Linked DNA regions of Nothobranchius furzeri. The protein of the gene in region 3 purifies or fractionates together with the protein of the main gene of each other region. This does not show direct contact. Links are inferred from orthologs where the notes say so. Each region holds a gene or a part of one and is shown on either strand. Other genes may lie near its edges.

Region 1 (8,535 bases), on a different chromosome or scaffold from region 3:
GGTGTATTTTAGGTTTTGTGTGAAAATAAGTCCAGGACTACAAATGCGCTTCACGTAAGTGATGTCATCGAACCGGACACGGAGAAAACAGAGAAAAGGACTGGAAGTTCAGCAAACTTCCCACAGGAGGAAAGAACCACCATAAATCTGGTCATGTGGTAAGTAGCAGCTACGCTAGGGGGAGATTATGTAGGGACGTCACACATGCGACGTGCCGATTTTTTCTAGTTTGTAGTCACGCTAATTACGAACTTTAACAAGCTGATAAATCTCAAAGTACGTGACAGGCGTGGTTGAAACACATCATTTGTGGCCTTAAAAAAGGTCTTAAAATCTTAAATTTGGCTCCCTTAAACCTGCAGATACCCTGAAATAATACCGTTAAAGAGCAGATTGTAGACGAAAGTAGTCGAGTGTGGAAAGTGGTCTTTAAATTAAATTATTTAATAAATTATGAGATAAAATATTTTTATCCGAGTGACCGAAATGGGCTTCCATACAACTGTAACTTCTGTGGTTTGTCTAGATTTCTCCGCTACATCTTACCTGTCGCAGGTTTTAGAACAGCCATTTTAGGGTTTATTGCTTTACCCGAACTAAGTAAAAGTAAATAAGTTAACATGAACTGTCTAATCAAATCACTATTTCTGTCACCGTGTTTCCTTCAGAGAAGGAGAAAAGGGTTTATATGGACGGTGGAGGTGACCAGCCCGATCGCACATGGGGTGAAGAACTCCGACTGGTCCTTGTGGGGCAGACCGGATCTGGAAAGAGTGCGTCTGGAAACACCATCCTGGGCCACAGACGGTTCCTGTCGCGGATCAGCGCCAGCTCCGTCACCCAGGTCTGTGAGCTTGGGAGCGCTGAGCTGATAGAAGACACACAGGAGGATGTTCGGGCTGTCACGCGGAAGAGGAGAATAACGGTGGTGGACATGCCAGGTTTTGGGGACACCCACCTCAGTGTGGAGCAGACTCGTGCAGAGATAGCTAAATGTGTGTGTGTGTCTGCCCCTGGTCCACACGCGTTCCTCCTCGTGGTGCCAATAGGACGATACACAGAAGATCAAAACCAGGCTGTCAGCCAGCTGACCTGCATATTTGGAGAAGAAGCTGTCCGTCGTCACACGGTGGTCCTTTTTACCAGGGGGGACGACCTTGAGGGAACTGGGATTGAGGAATATGTAAGAGAAACGGCCCCTGCCGGTCTTAAAGCTCTGATCGACAGGTGTGGAGGCAGATACCACGTGTTCAACAACAAAGACCCGAATAACTCCATGCAGGTTAAATGGCTGTTGAGGAAGGTGGATGCAATGGTGCAGCAGAATACCGGGAGGTTTTATACTAATGCAATGTTTTTAGAGGCAGAGGCCGCCATCACAGAGGAGCTGAGGGAGCGAGGCCAAGCCGAGGGGGAGGAAGACCAGGTTAAAGTTGTAAAACGAAGAAAGTGTGACTTGGAGTCCAGTGGAGGAGATTTTAGAGTCGAGAGGTGGAGTGAGGAGAGTAGGAGGAGCGCCTTCGGCCTCCTGCGTGACCGGTTCAGGGGGAGGCGTCAGGGTGTTGGCAGGCGGCACTCTCTCCGCCTGTCCCTGAGTCGTTTGAGGAGGGAAGCTGCACTCTCTGCCAAGGTGCTGAACAGAGTTAAGATCCTGGTGGTGGCTGGAGCAACGGGCATGGCGGTCGGCGCCGTGTTTGGGGCAGCTGCCCCTTTAGCCGCTGCAGCAGGGGCGTCCCTAGTAGGAAACTCCGTATCCTTTGCAGCAGGGCAGTTAGCCGGGATGTCGGCAGCAGGAGGCATGGGTGTCGGGAAAGCGGTAGGAGCCGTAGTGGCTGCAGCTTCTGGAAAAACAGCCGTGGCCCTTGGTGCAGCAACGGGTGGAGTTTTAGGTGGTTCTGTGGGAGCTGTTGCTGGTGCTGAGGCTGCTAGTCCTCAGGAGGGCGCTTTAGATGCCCTGGGCCAGGTTGGTGCCATAGGTGGGTCTGCTGTGGGAGTGGCAGCATGTGTGGGCTGTGCCCTGGGAGCTGGTGCTGCTTTTAGCTCAGCAGCTCTCCTCGCAGCAGAACCTGTAGCTCAGGGGACTTTAGCTTTAGCAGCACCGCAGCACGCCGTGGCCTCGGCTGCTGCAGGAGCTGGACCTCCTCAGTGTGCTGCAGCTTTAGCTCAGGCGGTGGCTACGCATGCCCCAGTGGTGGCTGGATCAACAGGGGCTGTTTGTGATCCATCAGGGCCTGTGGTGTCCTCGTTGACCCGGGGGGCTGTTTCAGACCACTGGGGCACCGTGGCAGTAACTACTCGTATCTTGAGCGCTGTGGCTGAGATTGGGAAAGCTGCAGCAGGCATTGCTCTGGCGGGTGGTCTGGTAGTGAAGGTGGTGAAGGAGAAAGTGAGATCTGGAACAGGTGCGACGGAAGCCAGCTACTCGGAAAAGAAGTCCTGTGAGATTTATTGGAACAGATAAAAGTTAAAGGCCATATGTGTCCTTTAACAGCTTTTCTGTTGAAATATTCAAATAAAGACATCCACATAATCTGATGCGCTGTAAACCCGACCAGGTCAAACATCACATTAAAAGTGTTTGAAGCTGTTCATGGCTGCTGTGGCATTTAATCTTAAGTATTTTGTTTTTAGGGAGGAGATAACCACAGATGTCTTCTAAATTCACTGTTGAATTAAATCTCATGCTAAAGGTTGTCACATGGGTTTGGAGGGAAGCATTTAGTCACAATTCAAACAAAAAAAGGGTAAAATGATGATAATAAAGATGTGGTTAACAGTGTTGGGAGTAACGCGGTGCAAATGTAATTAATTACTGTAACGCATTGCTTTTTGCTGTAATGTGGTAATAAGGCATTACAGGGAAAGAAAATGGTCATATTTACTCGGTACAATTGTCAGAAACACAGTAATTACAATGCATTTTTAAATCCAGAAGCAAGTTGTGGGTTTCTTCAAAATTCAAATTGCGGGAAGGCCAGGAAAGATCCAGTATCTACATATATGACGTCATTTATGGACTCAGAGTTGCGGGCATCCTATGAGCAGAGAGGACGCAGCGGTAATGGCTCCTGCATTCACAAAATGGCTCCACCAAAACAAAATAATTAATTTGCGATCGTTCATATCAGCCCATATTCTCTGGTGCTTTCTGTACTTTTCTGACGTGCTTTGCCTCAGCTGAGTTCATAATCTGCGCCCCGGTGATTTGAACTCATTGCTGCTGGAGCGCAGCACATATTAAAGAGCAAGTCACCCCCAAATCAACTTTTTTTTCTGATAAACTACATAAATGTGTGTCTAATCGTGCTGCAGACACGTGTAGTCAATAGTTTTGCACTTTAGTGCATTTTAGTTAAAATTTAAATTTTCTGCCTAAAACTGTCAGTGTTGTGCCGTTGTCAGGTAAAAACTCTGCACTGCATTTGAATTTAAATCTGCCATCGCTATTGGCTAAGAGGTACCCTAGAACGTTAGCTGGTACCATATGATGTCACAATGTCGTTGTGAGCCTGTGTGTGTGTGTGTGTTAGCGACTCTGCTCTCTCGGTCTGCTAGGCAACAGCATTTGTTGCATTTTTCAAACAGGAAGTGGGAGTGGGGTAATACTCTGATAGGGGGTGACTTGCTCTTTAAAGAGGGCCGAATTCGTCAACCGCATTTGAAGGAGTCTTCGAATTGGGACAGGCCTGGTCGCGGCACTGTGAGGTAAACGGCCGACGAAGGATGCAGACCCTGAATTGAGACACAGGCTCACGACAGCATTGTGACATCATAATGTACCAGTTTACATCATAGCATACCTCTTAGCCAATAGCTGTGGCAGATTTAAATTAAAATACAGTGCAGAGTTTTTACCTGACAACGGCACAACACTGCCAGTTTTAGGCAGAACATTTAAATTTTAACTAAGGTGCACTGAAGTGCCAAATTATTGACTACACGTGTCTGCAGCACGATTAGACGCTCATTTATTTAGTTTATCAGCAAAAAAAAGTTTTTTTGGGGGTGACTTGCTCTTTAAGCTTTTTTTGCATTCGGTAGATCCCTTGGCTGATTAGGTAGAAAGTAGGAAACTGATTTTCTGGAAGACGGAGAAAAGATGCAGCATGCAGGAAGGTTAGAGAGAGAGAGGGCCAGAAATCATTCAAATAAAATCAAGAAAATAAAAAAAAGTGCTTGAAAAGAAAAAAAAAGTAAGTAGATTTATCCCCAATACACATTTTTACCACTCCATCCATCCATCCATTTTCATCTGCTTATCCGGAGTCACGTCGCAGGGGCGGTAGCCTAAGTCGAGAGGCCCAGACTTCCCTCTCCCCATCCACTTGGGCCAGCTCTTCCGGGGGAATCCCAAGGCGTTCCCTGGCCAGGCAAGAGACATAGTCCCTCCAACGTGTCCTGGGTCTCCCTTTAGGTCTCCTCCCGGTTGGACGTGCCCAGAAAACCTCACCAGGGAGGCGTCCAGGAGGCATCCTGACCAGATGCCTGAGCCACCTCAACTGGCTCGTCTCGATGTGGAGGAGCAGCGGGTCTGCTCCAAGCCCTTCCCGGATGGCCGAGCTTTTCACCCTATCTCTAAGGGAGAGCCCAGCCATTCTGTGGAGAAAACTCATTTCGGCTGCTTGTATCCGCGATCTCGTTCTTTTGGTCACTACCCAAACCTCATGACGATAGGTGAGGGTAGGAACGTAGATCGACCGGTAAATCGAAAGCTTTGCCTTGACTCAGCTCTCTCTCCACCACGACAGACCGGTAAAACGCCCGCATCACTCCAGATGCAGCACCAATCTGCCTATCGATCTCACGCTCCAGTTTTCCCTCATTCATGAACTCCTCCACTTGGGGCAGGACCTCATCCCTGACCCGGAGAAGGCGTTCTACCCTTTTCCGAATCAAGACCATGGTCTCAGCTTTAGAGGAGCTGGTTCTTATCCCAGCTGCTTCACACTCTGCTGTGAGCCGCTCTAGCGAAAGCTGAAGATCACGTTCTGATGAAGCCAACAGGACCACATCATCTGCAAATCATCTGATCCTCAGGCGACCAGAACGGATCCCCTCCATACCTTGGTTGCACCTAGAAATCCTGTCCATAAAGGTTATGAACAGAATCGGTGACAAACGAAAGCCTTGGCGGAGTCTAAATGATAAATGACCCGCACTTCTATAGTGCCTCTCAGAGTAAGGACTCCAAAGTGCTTTACACTACAGTGTATCATTCATACATTCACACACTGATAGTGATGAGCTACAATGTAGCCACAGCTGCCCTGGGGCACACTGACAGAGGTGAGGCTGCCGAGCACAAGTGCCACCAGTCCCTCCGACCACCACCAGCAGGCAAGGTGGGTTAAGTGTCTTGCCCAAGGACACAACAGCAGAATTCTCTGTGCGGAGCCGGGATCGAACCTGCAACCTTCCGATTACTGGACAACCTGTTGAGCTACTGCTGCCCACTGGGAACGAGCCCGACTTACTGCCGGCAATGCGGACCAAGCTCTTGACACCGGTCATACAGGGACCTAACAGCCCGTATCAGAGGACCCGGTACTCCATACTGCTGGTGTACCCCCCAAAGGGCCCCCCGAGGGACACGTTCAAATGCCTTCTCCAAATCCACAAAACACATGTAGACTGGTTGGGCAAATTCCCACGCACCCTCCAGGATCTCCCTAAGGGTATAGAGCTGGCCCAGTGTTCCACGGCCAGGACGAAAACCACATTGCTCCTCCTGAATCTGAGGTTCAACAATCCGACGGACCCTCCTCTCCAGAAACCCTGAATAGACCTTACCAGGAAGGCTCAGGAGTGTGATCCCCCTGTAGATGGAACACACCCTGCGGTCCCCCCTTTTAAATAAGGGGACCACCACCCCAGTCTGCCATTCCAGTGTGCCTACCCCAATGTGTACGTGATATTGCAGAGCCGCGTCAGCCACCACAGCCCCACAACATCCAGAGCCTTAAGGAACTCCGGGCAGATCTCATCCACCCCTGGAGCCTTGCCACAGAGGAGCTTTTTAACCACCTCAGTGACCTCAGCACCAGAGACTTGAGAGGCCAACCCAAAGTCCCCAGACTCTGCTTCCTCACTGGAAGACGTGTTGGTGGGATTGAGGAGGTCTTCGAAGTACTCTGCTCACCGATCCACAACGTCCTGAGTAGAGGTCAGCAGCACACCATCCCCACTATAGATAGTGTTGGTAGCGCACTGCTTTCCCCCCCTGAGGCTCTGGATGGTGGACCAAAATCTCCTCGAAGCCATGTGGAAGTCTTGCTCCATGATCTCACCGAACTCCTCCCATGCCCAGGTTTTTGCCTTGGCGACCACCCGAGCCACGTTCCGCTTGGACTGCCGGTACCTGTCAGCTGCCTCTGGAGTCCCACAGGCCAAAAAGACCTGATAGGACTCTTTCTTGCTTGACAGCATCCCTGGGTTCAGGGGTTGCCAGAACGACAGACACCGACGATCCTGCGACCACAGCTCCGGTCGGCCGCCTCAACAATGGAGGCACGGAACAGGGTCCATTCAGACTCAATGTCCCCCGCCTTCCCCGGAACATTTTGGAAGTTCTGTCAAGAGGTGGGAATTGAAGCTCCTTCTGACAGGAGACTCTGCCAGACGTTCCCAGCAGACTCTTGAGATACGTTTGGGCCTGCCTGGTCTGACCGGCATCCTCCCCCACCATCTGAGCCAACTCACCACCAGGTAGTGGTCAGTTGACAACTCCGCCCCCTCTTCACCCGAGTGTCCAAGACATGCGGCCGCAGGTCAGATGAAACAACAACAAAGTCGATCATCGAGCTGCGGCCTAAGGTATCCTGGTGCCAAGAGCACATATGGACACCTTTATGTCTGAACATGGTGTTCTTATTGACACTCCATGACTGGCACAGAAGTCCAATAACAAAACACCACTCGAATTCAGATCGGGGGGGCCGTTCCTCCCAACCACACCTCTCCAGGTCTGTCGTTGCCTACGTGAGCATTAAAGTCCCCCAGCAGAACGAGGGAGTCACCGGAAGGAGCGCTTTCCAGCACCCCCTCCAAGGTCTCCAAAAAGGGTGAGTAGTCTGAACTGTAGTTTGGTGCGTAAGCACAGACCACAGTCAGAACCCGTCCCCCCACACGTAGGCGGAGGGTGGCTACCCTCTCATTCACTGGGGTAAACCCCAACATACAGGCACCAAGATGGGGGGCAACCAGTATGCCCACCCTTGCTCGGCGCCTCTCAGTGGGAGCAACTCCATAGTGGTACAAAGTCCAACCCCTCTCAAGGAAACTGGTTCCAGAGCCATGCGTTGAAGTGAGTCCAACCATATCTAGTCAGAACCTCTCAACCTCAGGCTCCTTTCCCACCAGAGAGGTGTCATTCCATGTGCCAAGAGCCAGCTTCTGTAGCCGAGGATCAGACCGCCAAGGTCCCCGCCCTCGACTACCACCCGTCACACACTGCACCCGACCCCTTTGGCCCCTCCCACGAGTGGTGAGTCCATGGGAAGGGGGACTTATGTTTCCTCTTCGGGCTGTGCCCAGCCAGGCTCCATGGGTGAAAGCCCGGCCACCAGGCGCTCGCCAACGTGCCCCACCTCCAGGCCTGGCTCTAGAGGGGGGCCTCGATGACCCACGTCCGGGCGAGGGAACACGGTTTCCATTTATATAATTCATCATAAGAGGTCTTTGGGCTGCTCTTTGTCTGATCCCTCACCTAGGACCTGTTTGCCATGGGTGACCCTACCACAGGCAGAAAGCCTCAGACAACTTGGCTCCTAGGATCATTGAGACACTCAAACCCCTCCACCACGGTAAGGTGGCAGCCCAGGGAGAGGAAAACTTAAATTTTAACTAAAATGCACTAAAGTGCTAAACTATTGACTACACGTGTCTGCAGCACGATTAAACATGCATTTATATCGTTTATCAGAAAAAAAATGTTGATTTGGGGGTGACTTGCTTTTTAACCAGCACAATAACATGAGTTGTTTTTCTTGAATGATGTGCTAACATGATGAGCTTTATTGCTGCAAAAATTTAGAAAATGGGCAAAAAGGCTGAAGAATTGAAAGTGTTTTAAATGCTAATGGCTAGCTTTGAGTGTACTGTTTCAAATCCTGTAAAATGTGTTCATTTAACATCTTACAAGAACAAGCGTGTTATTTTTGCTCTTAAAATTGCCGTAAAGCTTTAAAATCTAATTCCATGTTTGCTTTTATCGAGTGTTATATGTTTCGATGATAAAACGCTTGTTTTATTTTAAAAAAATGATAATACGTATTTGTAGTTTTGTTTTTGCTGCAATAAATTAAAAGAATCAACACCTTTAAGTATGAAGTTTTTTTCTGTGCCACTTTTACAAGAAACGTGATGATGTTTTTATGTTGATAAATATTGATGCGTGTTTAAACATTCGTTAAATTGCTTTTGTTTATTATATCCTTGGGCTTTGCCTTAGATAATTTAAATGAACATTCTATTAAATAACGTGGAGCTAATACGTGTTGTTTTCACACTCATCCTTGTGATCAGCCTCGTGAGGTA
Region 2 (8,240 bases), on a different chromosome or scaffold from region 3:
AGCTTTGATTGATTGATTGATTGATTGAGAAACATCAGCACAAAGTGCGTTCGTTGCTCTGAGCCAGCATGACGAACAAGGGAACAGCGCCGCTAATTCTGTTCAGGTGTTGCTTTCCAAAAGGGTCTATGTAGGGGGCAGGCGTATTACGTGAACGGACCCATCTGATTGGCCGCATATCAGAAGGACTACATTTGATTGGTCAAATAATACTTCCGCATAAAAAACAGAGCTGGTTTACAAAATGCTGATGTGTGACACGGATGGAAATGTTTGAACCAAACATTCATCGCTGTTTTTGCCGTGTTTTGCGATGGGCCTATCACACGTCCTGTTATTGCGATGACGATAATTTTTCGATATATTGTGCAGCCCTAATTCTGAGCTACTACAGCAATCAATTGAACTGAATTAAAGGGACATGAGTGTTGCCAACCTACACAAATCTTTTCAATTTTTTATTATCAAATTTATTGACATGGGAAAAATGATCACGATAAGAGTCAGAAATTTCGATAACGATGAATTTTCGACTTATTGCCCAACTCTCATTCAACAGGTAAACTAGTAGCAGCACATTCCATGTCAAAGAAAGTAAAATGTTATTACCAGGAGAGTGAGAATGTTTAAGTGGTTAGCAGCAGTGTTTGCAGAAAGCAAGATGTTTAAACTCACAGAGGCTGCAAGTTTCCTGTTCTATAAGTAAAGCACTGGGAATCAGCTTATCAGCGCTAAACGTTCTTTTGCCACTGCCATGAGCAGTTGGAGAAACACATTTCAAAGGCTAAACCGAGTCCAGCTACCAAACCAAGCAGAATACTGACGTAACACCGGTGCACAAAGGTGTGGGTTGGTTTCAACCAACAGGAGAGGGAGGCAGAAAGGGGTAAACAGCAAGATCATCACAGGGACCGGACTGATGTTTCTGAGCAAAACTGTGGGAAAAGTGTGGCTGTTAAAAGTCCTGACGCTGCGCACGTGAGGGTGTCTCTCTTTCTGTTTCGACGCTGCTCAACAATTTTTATTTATTATTAAGCCCCTTTTTTTACTCAGTAACACATATGATTGAAAATGTAGCAAAGTTCTTTAAAAAATATGCAAGTAAAAGGACAGACTGAAATACACAAAAAAGCTACTCAATTACAGTAACGCGAGTAAATTTCATTCATTACTTTGCACACCTGCTAGATGGTTTGCTGTAACAAAACGTAAAAGTAAAGCAGCAGAATGACATCAGCACTTTCATCCCTAAATTATAGGACTGACTGAAAGAGGCAAAAAAATCTACAGTAATCTTAATTAGTTAAAAAAAAAAGATTAAAAAATTTACAAATTTAGATTCATCCAGATACTAAAAACTCCCATTTTATGAACCATCAGACCTATATAGATGTCGCACAGGCCTTTTTGTCAGTAGGTTAGCAGGTAAACTGGTGACCTTTTACCTACTTTTGCATTCCTGATAACGATATTCATGAAGTCATCTTGCAGTTCTTATCAAATCCAGCGTGGATAACCATTGCACTTTAAATACTGAATCGTGGTGGGTGATTTGTCATGTACTAATAAACATTTACTGCTTGGGACAAACATGACCTCCCATTAGGCTGGCGCTGGACTGGGAGAACATCTTCGAGTCAGACTCTGTGCTGCTCTTTGAGCCATTCTGTAGACACGCGCTGCAGAGGCAACCTGCTGAATACGCTCAGATCGATTACACCAGATGTGTCATCAGCCCAGGTTGAAAAACCTAGCGGCCTGATTCAGGTGATATTTAAATCATCTCACCTGCAAAAAGGTTTAAGGGTCTTATTGAGAGTCTAAAGCCACACAGACCCTAGAAATGACCTTACAGTAACTATTTCTCTCCTTCTGAGACTCAGATCAGTGAACTCCTTTAAAAAGCAACTCTAAACCATTTCTTCAGACCAGCTTTTGCTTGAACTCCTGTGGATTAGCTCTGCACTGCACATTTATTTCTCTCTTGTTTTGATTGTAAAGCACAACATGATCTATTTCTTGCATTTTATTTTTAAGCTTGAAAAACTGCTCGTTATCGTAAAAGAATACATACCTGTGTAGGTAATTTGGCTCTTATTGCTGCTCTGTGCCTGAGGTGGTGTCTGCGTCTGAGGTGGTGTCTGCATCTGAGGTGGAGTCTGTGGTGCAACGAGGGTGAAAAGAGGCTGTGTCGTGGAGGTGAATGACGGACTTGGTCCTGGTGATCCAAGAGGAGAAGCTGCCTGAGCAGGGGTGGGAGGACTGATAGAGGGCTGGGGAGGCTCCACCTGAGGCTGCCTGAGGCCCTGAGTTTGTGGAGGGGGGGATGGCTGCGGCCTTGGGGAGGAGCTGGGTACCTGGGATACAGGAGACTGCTGAAAGGTGGGAGGCTGAAAGGTCTTGTCTGGGGTGGAGGAGCTACGGGTGATAGGAGGGCCCAAAAGAGCATCGAGGTGGGGGTTACTGCTTAGGATGGAAGATGTAGGTGCAGGTGTGGTGGTGGTAGCTGGAGGAGCCGCGGGGGTGATCAGCTGGGTCAAGGGAGCAATCTCTTGGGTGGGGGGGCCTCCAGTGAAGGGACCTGGATCAAAGAGTCCACTAAACTCCATGTCTTGGTTGTTGATGAGATTAAGCATGTCTGCAGAGAAAATGTTATCTAAATTAGAAAAATATTTCTCAGTGTATACAACCGATTCCCTACATTCAAATCTAGATTATGCATTATTTATTCTTACTGGGTTTAAATATACAAGATTTCAGTTCAGACAGATCAGAGATTACACTCAAAGGCTGGTCTAAAGGTAAAAGGAGAACAGAAAACCTCACTCAGGTCTGCAGCAAATGAAGCTGCAACTGGTCAAATGTCAAGCCCAAGTGGATAAACATCAAGTTAGAATCCAACATCCTGGTAAACATTTAACTTAGTTCAGATTTTATCCCTGGAAAAAAACAGACACGGAGTCTAAAGTGGACAAAATACCAAATAAATAAAACCAATAGTTTTATTTATTTACCGGTTTTTATTTTGTTACGAATTGTTTACATGTTTGTTCCTGCACTCTTATGAATGTTAAAGCCAAACAATAGAAAATTACATGAAAATTATAAACACTACACCTTAGTATGAAAATCAAAAGAAAATTCATCAAATTAACATTCAAGCATTTCTGCAGCAGCAGAAAATGTAAAAGATATGAAAATAATCATAAAAATCATATTATTTTTTAAATATTTCCCAAGAATATGCCTTCAGTGGGAATTGCTGGGAGAAAATAATTATCAGAAGCTTTGAAAATATGCGCGCGCGTGCGTGCGTGTTATGTATGTCTGCTGTGTAAGGCAGGAGGCTGCATTTGTAAACCGGTGTTGTGTATGAGGTGATCGCTCTCAGCCAATCAGAGCACAGCTCTCAAACTCAGACCAAGACAGCGAGAGGTTACTATCGAGCAACATCACCGAAAGGTTATTCTCGGTCAGGTGTACAAAACTGGCCAGCGGGATGTGTTTAGCTAAAATACCACTTTTCACATTACACGTTGTTGTTTAGGATATGACTAAACACACACCAAGATTCTTTACAAAGTATTATTAATAATAAATATCTGTTAAAGTCCACTCTCCTGACAGCAGCACTGCTTGCTCATCAACAATTTTAATAAGATAATGTTTTTAAAACAGAAATAAACCAAAACATGGACGTTTAAAGCACATAAAAGCAACTTATTATGAATTTGGGACAAATATAACGCAACTGAGAATTCGGTCAATTGAGGTAGCTGAACCGAGAGGAATGAACGACAGTAACCTCCGAGCGAGCATGCTGGGGGCGGGGCGGACACGTTAACCTCAAAGCTAATTCGCTCTGAATTATAGTAATAATAATAACTATTTTACAGTTCGGTTAGAACTACGGCGTTTGCACTGTATAATAACAAATAAAGCCAACAGGAGGTCTAGTGGCTGCTTCAGTTAGCTCCTAAACAAGCGGACTAGCTAAATGGCTAATGATAGCAAGTGTAAAAATGCTCCGAGTTGATGATTCTGTGTTCAACAAGGGCTTGCATGACGCAGAAAACGTAAATATATATGCCATGCAAGAGAAGTACCAGCAGCATTATTACTTTAGCCACGTATTTCAAGAGCTACAATTATTTCTTCTTACCATCAATATCGCTTAAAAGGGCCGTATCTATATCACTCGGATCATGAAGCGATAGTGTTGGATCCAGGTGATCCAACGAAGAATCGTCAAAAGACAAGCGATTCATCTTCACTCGTGTGTCTGCTTTTCCAGACTTCACTTGCAGGTTGATCGCACAGAAAAGGGAAAAAGTCCTCAACTTTCCTCGTCCCTACATTAGATAAAACCTTGAGGTCCAGGTCTTCCTGAAAGACATGTAAATACGCTTTAACTTTCAACCAATACGTTAACTAACATCTAAACTCCATATTGAGCTTTGGGAAACTTGTCAAACCGAGCCAAACACTGAAGCTCATTCAGCACTTCAGTACTAACGTGCTGCCGTAAGGCAGAAGCCGCAGAGAACTGTCCGGCCCCATCAATGATTGACACATAAGCCAGCCAATCAGTAGCTTGGAAGTGGATTCCCACGTCCTCTTTTCACATGATTGTTTTGGTTATTCAGGAAACCGCTGGAGGCAAAAGGAAATCCCTAATCCATCGATTATTGGGCTCTTTTCTTGAATTAATATTATTTTTAATCATTCGCATACTATCATATCAACCTTCACACACACGTATTTACCTAAATGAACATTATGAAGTGAAACTGCAAGGATATGTTTTTATGGGCTTGCCTTCCTAAACAGCCAACGAGAGTAAAGTAGGCGGGACCTGCCAACAGTATGTTTGTTTGTTTGACTCGAAGAATAAGCTCCTCCTGTAGAACCAGTAGAATCGTCCAACCAGAGGCTGAGAAACCGAGTGGGGTGATCTGACATCATAGCACTGCGTTCGGTGATTACATCATGTGTTTCTGTCGCAAAAGTGGACAAGTGGAAGCAGCACAGTTATACTGGAGAAACTTGTATTAGCAGAAAAATAAACAAAATATCAATAAATAATTAACACAATATTAATAAAGCCTCCATGCATTGTGTTGGGGTGGGTTGAAAAGCTCACATGACTACAAATGCCCGTTGTACTGAGAGACTGAAGCAGGGTTGCATCAGCGTGAGCATTAAGAAGCTTCAATAATAACAGAGTTATGAGGTAGAGGTCACACAATGCTAGTGTTTTATTGGGCCTTTACACACGTGCATGAGGTCAAACACAGATCTGACCATACATCAGTGATGGCAGGCAGCAGACAGACATGACATTTTCCAAGAACAGGAATCTGGCTTCAAGTTTTCCATGTCCAAACCTTGTCTGAACACCCTGCCATTCAGTACTTTCAGAAAACCAAAACCTTTGTTAAGTAATAGCAAAACAACACGGTCACAGACTCGTAGGAGAGACAGGAAATACAGCCAGATGTTAAATTATCTCAATTTAGTATCTGTAGTTGTGCTTTATGACTTATAAGAGCTTTAAAATCATAAAACGGGCATATTAACAACCATATTAAACATTATGTAACCGTATATAACGTTAGCGTTAAGGTAAAGCTCAATAATAACACATTTCCTGAACTAAAATACATATTTATTACGATTACATAAACACACATTCATTTGATGACATTTTGCATCTATATTTCCCTCTAATGGAAGGTCCATACTGACAACTGGTCCACATTTTCAATTCAGGTTTCATAAATGCTTATGGACATTTAGGTCGGATCCACTATTAAAATGAACAGAAATGTTTTTGGGTTCTACGTGTGATTTGGTGGACACTAAAGACAAATTGTGAGGTGGTGCTCACTCCTCACCCCTTCCACGTGGACCTCAAGGAATAAACCATCAACCCTGCTCAATGGTCAACTTTCCTGGTGGGGTCACCTCTGAGGACAGTGGGAGGGTTAAGTTAGAGGTATAATGCAGAAGAGAAGAAGAGGAGGAGGAAAATATAATTTCTATAGCGCCTCTCAAGATAAAAATCACGAGGCGCTTCACAAAAACAAAAAATGTAAAAATATAAAAAAAAGAATTTAGAAAATGTTTAAAAATATATTTTAATGAGCAAAAAAATAGACAATTGTGATTAAAAAAATGTTAAGAATGAGAGAGTGAATAGGAAAGAGGGAAATCAGTGGATCCTGAGGAAGGTGGAATAGGTGGGGAGAGCAGAATAAAGAGAGAGGGTGAAGAAGGTCATACAAAAGCCACTTTAAACAAGTGAGTTTTCAGCTGCTTTTTAAAGGAAAGTGGGAGTGGATCTACTAAACCACTCTATAACCGTGGATCACTATAATGTGTATGTTTAGTCCTTTAGAGGGATAGTTTGATCTTTTGAAGTGTGTGAACATTTAATATTGTATCTGTTGTCTTTGATCAGCCCCGGTTTGGAGAAATGGAGATTACTTCTGATTGAACTGATAGGCAAATGGCTAGTCAGAATAATTTGAGACCAAATTTGGAGTTGGAATCCAACTGTGGGCCACAAAACTTAATTCCTTGAAATTTTCTGTAAAAAAAAATCAATTCCTAATTTATTATTTTCACTATTATGCATGTGAAAAATAAAAACAAAAATTCAAATATGAATGGGATCTGTTTATGTTTTTACTATACCAATGCGTGCAAACTTGCAAACCTTTTCATTGTAATTTTGTGGATCATAAATCTAAAAGCTTTAGGAACCATTGGAATTGATTTTACATTACACTGTTATTTGGGGGTGAAAAATTAGCGACTGAGCTAGCTAGCTGTAGCACTGTAGTTAGCTAAGTTTTAGCATTTGTATCAAAGTTGTGAACGTCTTACGATTGGAGTCCTTAAGGATTGCTGTAATCCATTTTGCAACTAGCCGTTAGCTCGTCTGATCCGAACTCATCTTTGGTTTTCCAAATCCAGGTTGTTCAAAACTCGATTTACAACAGGTAAGACATAAATCGCTAATAATGTTTTAAAACAGCCCAACTTAAAAAAAATCTGACCCATTATCTTATGCGGTTTTAATTATATTTGAAATCATATTAATTGTTAAAGTCCTATTTTTTGCTGATAAATCGGATATTCTTGAAAATAATTGCAATTATAAGCTTGACAATCAACCCAAGTTCATCTCAAACAAGTAATGCTGTTACTCAGAAAGAACATTTCTGTACAAAGTGAATTCTTCCTTATGAAGGTTTCTCTTCCCTTTCAAAAATAGCAAACTTGTAAACAAAGGAAAAAAAATACAGATCTGGCATTCCTTCAAAATGCCCAGAAAAAACAAATACGACAGTTAACATAAAATACTACCTGGTCATTAAAGCCTTAGTATTTTTTGGAATGGCTAAAAGTGCTTGTAGTTGTTAGAGAGCGTCCTGCTCTCAGGTCATTTTTGTTGCTTTATGGAATATTCTACAGGCATGTCACTTCTTCTGTGGTTGAAAAAAGATGTCTTAGCACAATACGGAGTTTGTTGTTGCGGTTTTATGCTTCCCTTTGATTAGAGGATCACTGTTGATGCTTATTTCCTCAAAAGAACAGCACTGGTTAACAAAATAAAACTCTTTATAGTGATTTTGGCAAACTGGGTAATAAGTTATGTATCAGCCATGGCCTCAGCGCTAGTACATAGTACAGATTAGAACAGGAAAGGCATAAATAAGCAGTTAAGATGAATGTAGTAAAAATAACACAATCGAACGATGTGCTTCCATACATATCTAATGCATGGACCTGCAGTTTCATTTTGCAGTAATATACCACATTCTTAAACCGCGACTTACGTCATCTTCATTTGTGTTACAAATGAGCTGCGAGTTATACATCCCACATCCAGATTAATACATCCACTCAGAGTAAAATGCAACGCGACCGAGAGTGCAGTGAACATCTTTGACCTCTGTGGGTTTGTGCCACATCGGCAAGAAAAGAACAAGGAGATGGTGATCGCTTGCTACGCCACTTCCTGTCGGCGATGAAAAAGGATTAAGAAGGGCTTTTGAGGAAGGGGGTTGTTTACGAGACCCGAAGATGTCCAGGTGTCCTCTGTGGACGGTCTCTACAAGGCAAAGAGGGCATCCTCCGTCCGTTCGGCCTTCTTATGGGAGCCGCCAGGAGCACGAGCAGGGTGAGGAGGGTTAGCTCCGGGAGGAGACGGGAGAGTGTCCACGGCCTTA
Region 3 (8,441 bases):
TAAAAGTTGTGCTGCAAGGAGGACAAAGCTGTGTTCAAGGAAGGACTGCATAAATATAAAATAGTGTCGTCCGCATATAAATGTATGAGAACTGTCAATAGTTATCAATATAGATTTTGAATAAGGTAGGGCCCAGTATCGACCCTTGAAGAACGCCCATAGATGGAGGTAGAGGAGCAGATTGGTAACCCTCAGTTCTCACTGCGTACGGCTTAAGGCAACTTCTAAACCATGCCATGGAGGCCTGAGACAGTCCTTTTATGTTTGAGCCTGCTAAGGTGTTATGGTCCACAGAGTCAAAGGCTTTAGCCAAGTCAACAAATACAGCCACACAATATTCCTTATTGTGAATGGCCCATACGATGAATCAGTGTTGTTAATTATCGGCTAAATATTCATTTGTACTCATGTACAAATATTTCTCCCCCGTTTAACGTGTGCTTGTCTATTGAATAGAAACCTCTACCCCCTTCCTCCCTCTCTCTCTCGCTCTCTCTCTCTCTCGCTCTCTCTCTCTCTCTCTCTCTCTCTCTCTCTCTCTCTCTCTCTCTCTCTCTCGCTCTCTCTCTCTCTCTCTCCCTCTCTCTCTCTCTCTCTCTCTCTCTCTCTCTCTCCATGCTTTCCCCAGCCTCCTCCGCTCTCCTAGGTCACTGTACCTCCACAAAAGCTTCTTTTGTTTTCACCAGCCCCCCTCCTGACAAGCAGATGAAGAGACAGGCATCCCATTCTCACAGGGCCACTTTCTCACAGCCCTGTGCCCCGGTCCTGCCTTTAACCAACCCGCAGACAGTCCCCCACGGGTGGTCAGTCGTCCATTCGGCCATCACCCCAGCTGTAATGAGCTTACAGGACAGCACACAGCAGGTGTACATGTGTGTTTCAGATCTGAGATTGTTGCTGATTGTTGCCCAGCCAAGTCTCTGACCTATGCCCCCCTCTGTAGACTAGTGACTTAGCAAATTCAACAAGAGCAGAGACTGTGTGTGCACATGTTAAGTGAGCGTTTGTGTGGCGGTGTCAGCAGGGAACTGTTTTGTGAGTGTGTGTGTGTGTGTTTGCGTGCAGATGGCCTTGAACTGAACCCGTTTTTTCATTAATTCTGTGAAGCTCAGTGTGCCTGAACTGGATGACCTGAGTCGACTTGATTTTACAGTTTATTTAGTAAGATGGAACAAATGAGGGTATGCTTTTGTTGGAACAGAACTAATTTGACCAGAATGACAAAATCCTACTGCAGGGAATGAAACATTATTTGACTCCTTAAAAATCCAACGTGGATGGAAGAAACAAATCCACCAGTAGAGACTAACCAGCAGGTGAGGATGCTGGCGGAGGTGAAGAGGATGATGGGTACTGGGTAGGAGGCACACAGCAGCCCGTGGCGGTAGAAGGCCGCCGAGATCTTCTTTCTCAGCTGCTCGCGCAGCGTCATCCTTGTGGGCGTGGTCAACTCCCGGCCATTGGGAAGAACTGGGCGGCCGAGGACGGAGCGCCGCAGAGCATCCAGGGACCTTGAGACAAAAATTATGGAAATCATTTTAATGACCTCACAGAATTATAGCCATAAACAAAAGCAGATGTTTTAACCCTTTAAGTGCCTGATCAACCGTCTGGTCAATAATGTTTGTGTCTCTGATTCTCTGTTGTTTTGTAGGAAACTAGGGAAAAAAATCTAAAAATATGAAGATATTCTATGAAAAACAATGATAATTCTATGCCGTTATTTTTATGTTAGTATTAACACTTTATTTTTATATTATTTATGCATTATTATTCTTAACATGTTAGATCCTTTGCACAAAACCCTAGACATGGGACAGCATTTCAACACCAGTCTGTCATGTACCTTCAGTGCAACTTACCATGACTGTGCTGGCTACAAAATGCCTTTCCCACTCATCTAACCCCTATTTCACACGGGAAGCATCAGCGGCCCATAACAGCTTACTCGCGAGTTTCAATGCGGTCCAGTACACACCGAGAGTCTTGGCTACAGAACAGCTTCCTCGCTGGACTTGTGAGATCCCAAAATCCCTCTAGACTTCAAAGGTCAATGGTTTGTTTGTTATCCGCTCTTAAACCAAAAAATAAAAAAAAGAAATCACATTTGATATCGCTGTTTGATATATTATGTTCCTCTCCACTGCCACGATTAATGCCATGAAAGACACACCGCTGCATTTCTCGAACGATGCAGGGAGTTAATAAGTTGTTGGGTCACATGGAAGCTATATATATATATATATATATATAATTGCATCGCTGCAGTACATTTATTTTGAAAATTAGCAGGGATTTTACACCAAAACTGTGTGATTTCCTATCTACCTATGTTAACTGCAGAATTTGAAGGTGTCCCAGAAGCGGCTCGTGGCAAAAATTGAACCCAATCCTATCTTTAGCAATGCGTGGGGCTTCTGGACGCGCCTGAAAGTTGCCGGTTTGAATCACCCCATAAACTAAAATGGACTCAATTTGAAGCAGCGAAGTTCCGTCGCCATTCATACTTCTGATGGTTCCAGCGTGAAATAGAGGGGTAACTCTGAGCAATGTGGCCACAAACTAAATTTCACTCAGGAGTGGAATATCCCTTCAAAAACTATCAAGACTGCGTATTGAACCCAGAAAGTTTTGAAAGATTTAATCTAAAAGCTCCACAGCTTTTAAATAAAATAAAACAATACATTTGAGTTGTGGACATCCTGTCAAATTATAAAGTTTTTTATGCGACACGAATCAGAGATAAGCTTCATGGAGCCTCTTGTCAAAGTAAATATAGTACTAAATCTCTAAAGCTAAGACTTATCTTTATTTACTAAAATGCAGCAGCACGCCTATTGACGGGTTCGAGAAAGAGGGAGCACATCACCCCAATTTTAGCTTCGCTGCACTGGCTGCCTGTGGTTTATAGGGTCCAGTACAAGGTTCTTTTATTGGCTTTTAGAGCTGTACATGGCCTTGCTCCGCAGTATCTGTGTGAGCTTTTAGTAACTTTCTCCCCGTCTCGGTCACTGAGGTCAGCCGACCAGTTTCTCCTGGAGGTGCCGAGAACAAAGAGAAAGCTCAGGGGTGATAGAGCTTTCTCAGTAGCAGCTCCAAGGTTGTGGAATGCACTCCCGATTCAGATTAGGATGGTTTCATCACTGTCGGGTTTTAAATCCCTCTTAAAGACTCATCTGTTCTCAGTTGCTTTTAATTCAGTTTGAGAATGCATCTGTTTTTAGTAGCTTTTATGTCAGTTTGATATGTTTGTTTTATCATGATTTTACCTTGTGATTAACTTTTTATCTTGTTTTTAGAATTTTTGAGGAAATTCTGTTCATTTTGTCTTGTTAAGCACTTTGGTCAGCTTTTATGCTGTTATAAAGTGCTATATAAATAAAGATGACTTGACTTACTCCATCCACCACACACACCATGAATAAAGACATGCTGCATTTTTCCTCCAGAGTGGTTTCTACTGCCATTGCATGCTACACACCACTTAAGACACACAGCTCTTTCAGAGATCCAAAAGGTGTGGGCACATTCCCGCTAAAGGAAATATCCAAATTTAACTGATCACGCCTGGGGGGAAAAAACCAGCTTTCATGCTGCTTCCTTTCAAAGAAGACAGGGGTTATTTACATGAAGGTGAAAAAGCACGGAGGCAGAGGTTTTGCATACATGCCGACTCGGGCATTTGATCACTTGGTAATTTCTGTTTCTCACAGAGAAACAATTTTAATACAATTCACAAACAAAAAAAAAAAAAGATTTTTAAGGTCTGCTTCCCCAAGAAACTGTTTAAAATTGTTCTTTCAGAAAGGCGATTGGTCACTCATGCATGCTGAATGTGAAAATGTTCTCCAATCCCCATCATCTGCATTTGTCACAGAAAAGAAAGAGACATGAAATGATCTGATAGGAAAAGGCAGATTGCTTCTATGTCACAGAGAAAATTAGTGTTTGTGACCCGGCCCACATTGGCTTACACAAGAAGGAAACAGCGGACAGCATCTCGCCTAGTATAAGCTAACCACTAGCAACTCAACATGGGAGAACACAATCAGGTGTGTGTTATTTGTGGAGATAAAACACCAATGTTGCTTTTTTTTTACCCAAGAAAGAAAAAGCGAACAAAGGCAGAAGAAAAGCTGTGGTGCCGTTAGCCAATCAGAGGCGAGATGTTCGCATATCATGAATAATAATGAACAAGACCCTCTCGTCCCACTCTTCTGCCAAACTTCCAACCCCAAAACAGGAACACCAAAACCTCTCTCCACAGAAAACGACTTGCAAGGCATGTTGGAAAATCACTCCTCCGACAAACTTCTACTTCCTGTAACAGGAGCGTCAGATCATTTCCATAGAAAACGACTCACTAAGATTTATTAATAGAAACCACGGCAGATTAATAGAAAAAAATGAATGGATGAGACCTTTAAAGGAATATTTTTGCGCAAAAGCTTTGAATCAAGCATCAATCTGTCTGTCTCTGTTGTTTCTCCATTAGCTATGCTAATGGGCAGCTTTGATCAACCCTGATTGAAGAGCTCCGTCTGGAGCTACGGCAGGCCTGCACTTTTTCAACTGTTGCCACGTTTTCAGCATTTCTGATCTTTGAGATTCTCTAAATCAACTACTCATAAATGATGCTTGTTTGGAAAGAGCATCATACCGCCTAAAAACATGTGACAACTGATAACTCGATGTCACTTGTGGAAATCACCCTTTCCACAAACATCCCTCCCTGCTTGAGAACAAACTGAACACTGATATCTATACATGAGCTCCGACGTTGTTTGAAATCTGTGCCTTGAGGGCAGTTCGCCTCACATCAAACACAAATGTCCGTTCCGCTTCCCCACGCCAACTCAATCTCAGCTCGTCTCACGTCCGCTGAGCTAACAGACGGAGTTGCTGCTGCAGCGTTTGCTGCTGTTGCATGGCATTAGTAGTGTTTTATTCATGATCCTACTTAATCATTTTCCTGTCTGTGATGTCACTAAGCTGTACAAGCCAACATGTCAAGCATGCCCCAACACAGCAGCCCCCGTGTCAGTCACAACACCACTGTACCTGCTGATGGGAGACCAGGTTGTCTCTCGGGATGCCACCTGTTTACGTCCTCTGAAGGCAGCAGTGCAGGGGTTTTTTAGCCTAACTTGTGCATTACAGTTGACATAGTGTTCCCTTCTTGGCTCAGGCAGAGTGCACGACTGCTTGGCTTGTCCTCCCGGGAGCGACGGAAACATTCCCTGGGAGGAACTCTCCTCAGGAGTCTCTTGATCTGCTGTTATAAATATGCTTTACAGTAAACAAAGCTACAACAAGCGTCCACAAAGACTTCACAAAGGTTGTTTGAAGTCAAGCCTTTTCAGTGCCGGCGCCTCTGACCCAGGTTCTTGCCTCGCTCACGGTTTAGCCGAGCATTCGTTTAAAAAACTCTGGATGAAAGTCTCCATCTCTGGTCTGTTTGTCCAGTTTGCTGTACTCTCCAGGGTTATGTGGGTGCAGCTGGAAGGCCTGATTTGGCAAAGGATCAGCAGCATCTCCGTCAGTAAACTAATCTGGGATTGAACTGATCGGAAACTCAACGAACAGGATAGAGGTCTTGAGGCCACCTCCCATTGATTCCCTCCTCCTCCCGTGGTCACACACTTCAGTCTTTCATGCATTAAAAGCATAGCAAGGTTGGAGGAGTCTTACAGCACTTCTCAATCGGAGCGGAAAATGAACAGCAGCCAAGAATTTAGTGTTTGTACGCAGCAGCCACAGTGCGGTGAATCTGAGCTCCTTTCAGCCATTCTGGCAGGTGATCAGTGACCATTCGGGAAAATCTATTCTTGTGGGATTTGTTGGCCCACTGTGGATGAGGGCGAAAAAAAGAGCAGTCCCATAGAAACCTAGCTTACTTAAAAATACATTTTCAAGATAGCAAGAATGATATAAGATAAATAAGAAAGCAAGAATGAGAAATTTGGAGCAAAAAAGAAATACAACCCCAAAAGCAAAAGGCTTACCTCTTTTCAGTTTTTGCTAAAATACCAAACTTGAAAGCCTCTCCAGGCTTCACAGATCCCAGAGACATTATCAGCGTAGCGGAGCCAAAAACCACTATCTCAAAACATTCCACAGATCTTTAGACTGCATCCATTCTTCTTAGTGTAACTGCTTCAAAACCCAGCGACACAGTTACATAACGATGAAGCACGTGCTGCTAATCTGTAGATATTAGTACAGTTGTAAAAGCAGCACCAACCTCACTTTGAATGAACTTGTAACTGTCATTTACAACCAGAGCCAATGACAGAACAGAGAAAACTTCTGTTAATCAGTAACCGTGTTGTAATAACTAAAGATGGCTGGCTCTTTCCACAAGACTTCCTCCTTTCTGACCAAATATTTCAATGAGACAGAAAAAGCCACAGTTTATGCCTATCACAGTGAGTGTGCAGATGCAAGGAAGTACATAGTCTTTTGCTATTCATAAATGTCACCCCCCTGTGCATTTACGATCTAAACCATAAAATAGATTTTCCCAAGATGCAAAGCACAAATAGGGATGGTGGGGCTGATGCAACCATGTTGCAACATCACCTCTCAAGTAACAAACAACGGTAAGCATGACAGACATGCCCAGATCAAAACCATCAAGAGCCACTTTTATTCACACATGCGAAATCGATCATAACAGAGCATCCCAACGGTTTCTACATTTTTCCTCTATTTTGTGGTAAAAATCCAACAGTTAAACTTTTAAAATGAGGGAAACGATCTATCTAGAGAATATAAATCAATTAAATGTTTAATTTATAGCACTTAGTTTCTGCAGTTTAGCAAATAGTTAGCAACAAAAGAGAATGTTATACAACACAGGTTTTTTTGACTCGAGCACATAAATGGGAGAAAATTCGTTGTCTGTATGGCAACACGAACAATGTACGTCATATATTATTCATGTCACTACTAATACGACAAAAAATAAAGTTTTTATCCCGTGTTTTACCTTCTTAGAAGTACAATTTAGCCTTTTAGTACGCCTAGCTAAAAGCTAACACTAAAAGCAAACAAGGCTAGCTTTGTTAGCTTCTTGGCGAACATGTGATCCATTTAATAGGCATTTAACTTAAATATATGTTAGTGAAATGGAAAGTAATAACATAGAAGAGCCTAGCTGCCAAAGCTGCAATAGAAAATATTTTTTAAAAGACTTCTGACAATAGATGAAAATTAAAAAAAATAACAATTGCGCCTTCGTTAGCCAAGTAAGAGTTAATGTGACAAAGTTAAAAATATCAGGGAAGTTTGGAATTTGTGTGAACCGTAACTAAAAAAGAACAGGAACCTAATAAAAGCAACGAAAATCAGAAGCTGTAGTTTAAAAATGGATTAATACATCACCAACCATCATGCTTCCCACTACGCTAAAGCAGCTAATGCTAGCAGGAGAATAGCCTTTCTGTAGACACTTACCAGGACGAACTTCAGGATTCCTCAAAATTTTAAAATCACTGTGATCTTCTCGGGTGAACTGATGGTCACCAGCTTTATTTGTGCTTATTAAATAAAAACTGTGCAGGTGAAATCCTCAGGTCAGACGGTGACAGGCAGAAACAAAACTACTACAGCTTGAGGTTGTCAAATCAGACTTCTTCGCTTCGACCTCTCACACCTCCAACGTAGAGAAGAGAGAATAAGTGACCCCTGCTGGACGCAAACTGTTACAACATGTTTAGTTTTCCATTATGCCTCCATTCTATTCATCTCTCCCAAAGATAATTTGAAGTGAGTTATTAAATCTTCTCAACCTTTAAAACAGATTTATATTTTTATTCTATAACAAACAAACTCACTCCAGTGTTTGGCAAAAACGAAATGCCTAAATTGTTTTATTCAAGGTATTCTTTAGGACTTTGTAGAGCTGTTTTAAATTCAAACTATGTTACTGGTACTAAAATTACAGTATTTATTATTTAGTAGAAAAAAACAGAGCCCAACAGGCAACAGTCAGATGCATGAATTCCATGCATGCATTGCAAACAAGTGTATTGAAGAACTGCTAAAGCTAACCTGTCCCAGCAAACCTAAATATAATTGTACCAGTTAATGTCATCCTTGGTCAACGTTGCAAAAAGCCACTATGGAGCAGCTATAGGCCCTCACTGGGTTCCAGACCTGCAGCTACAGACTTTTAGTAAAATAAAGTTGCACTTCACAGATTGAGCCTAAAATTTGCCTCAGAAATCTTTATTTTCTTACTTTTTTACAACACCGTCCAAGTCTCAAACCACCTCTCAGTTTGTTATTTTTTGCTTTTACAAAAACCAGCTGTGTAATTAAAGCACTTTATTTATCAGCTTGCTGCAAAGACAATTATGTTGCATCTAGAAAAAAATGCATCCTCTGTCAAAACAAGCAAAAAGCAGAAATCAACACCAGAGTAAGTAAAAAGTCCT

The links.
Region 1: the proteins of scap (region 3) and srebf2 purify together in Homo sapiens (affinity purification with western blotting; 3 studies listed by BioGRID and IntAct, with this or other methods). This does not show direct contact. The link is inferred for Nothobranchius furzeri from reciprocal best matches to the Homo sapiens genes SCAP and SREBF2.
Region 2: the proteins of scap (region 3) and srebf1 purify together in Homo sapiens (affinity purification with western blotting; 4 studies listed by BioGRID and IntAct, with this or other methods). This does not show direct contact. The link is inferred for Nothobranchius furzeri from reciprocal best matches to the Homo sapiens genes SCAP and SREBF1.

The regions. Positions count from the first base shown.
Region 1 is NC_091752.1:67,062,958-67,071,492, reverse strand, and holds the start of srebf2 (sterol regulatory element-binding protein 2), read left to right. Parts: upstream 1-3,888; 5' UTR 3,889-8,535. Other genes in the region: uncharacterized protein, read left to right, coding at 669-2,461.
Region 2 is NC_091752.1:55,498,983-55,507,222, forward strand, and holds the start of srebf1 (sterol regulatory element-binding protein 1), read right to left. Parts: upstream 4,648-8,240; 5' UTR 4,269-4,647; coding exon 4,163-4,268; intron 2,639-4,162; coding exon 2,075-2,638; intron 1-2,074. Other genes in the region: TOM1-like protein 2, read right to left, coding at 8,123-8,240.
Region 3 is NC_091745.1:65,122,939-65,131,379, reverse strand, and holds the start of scap (sterol regulatory element-binding protein cleavage-activating protein), read right to left. Parts: upstream 5,466-8,441; 5' UTR 5,238-5,465; coding exon 5,062-5,237; intron 1,512-5,061; coding exon 1,311-1,511; intron 1-1,310. UniProt on the Homo sapiens protein: Escort protein required for cholesterol as well as lipid homeostasis.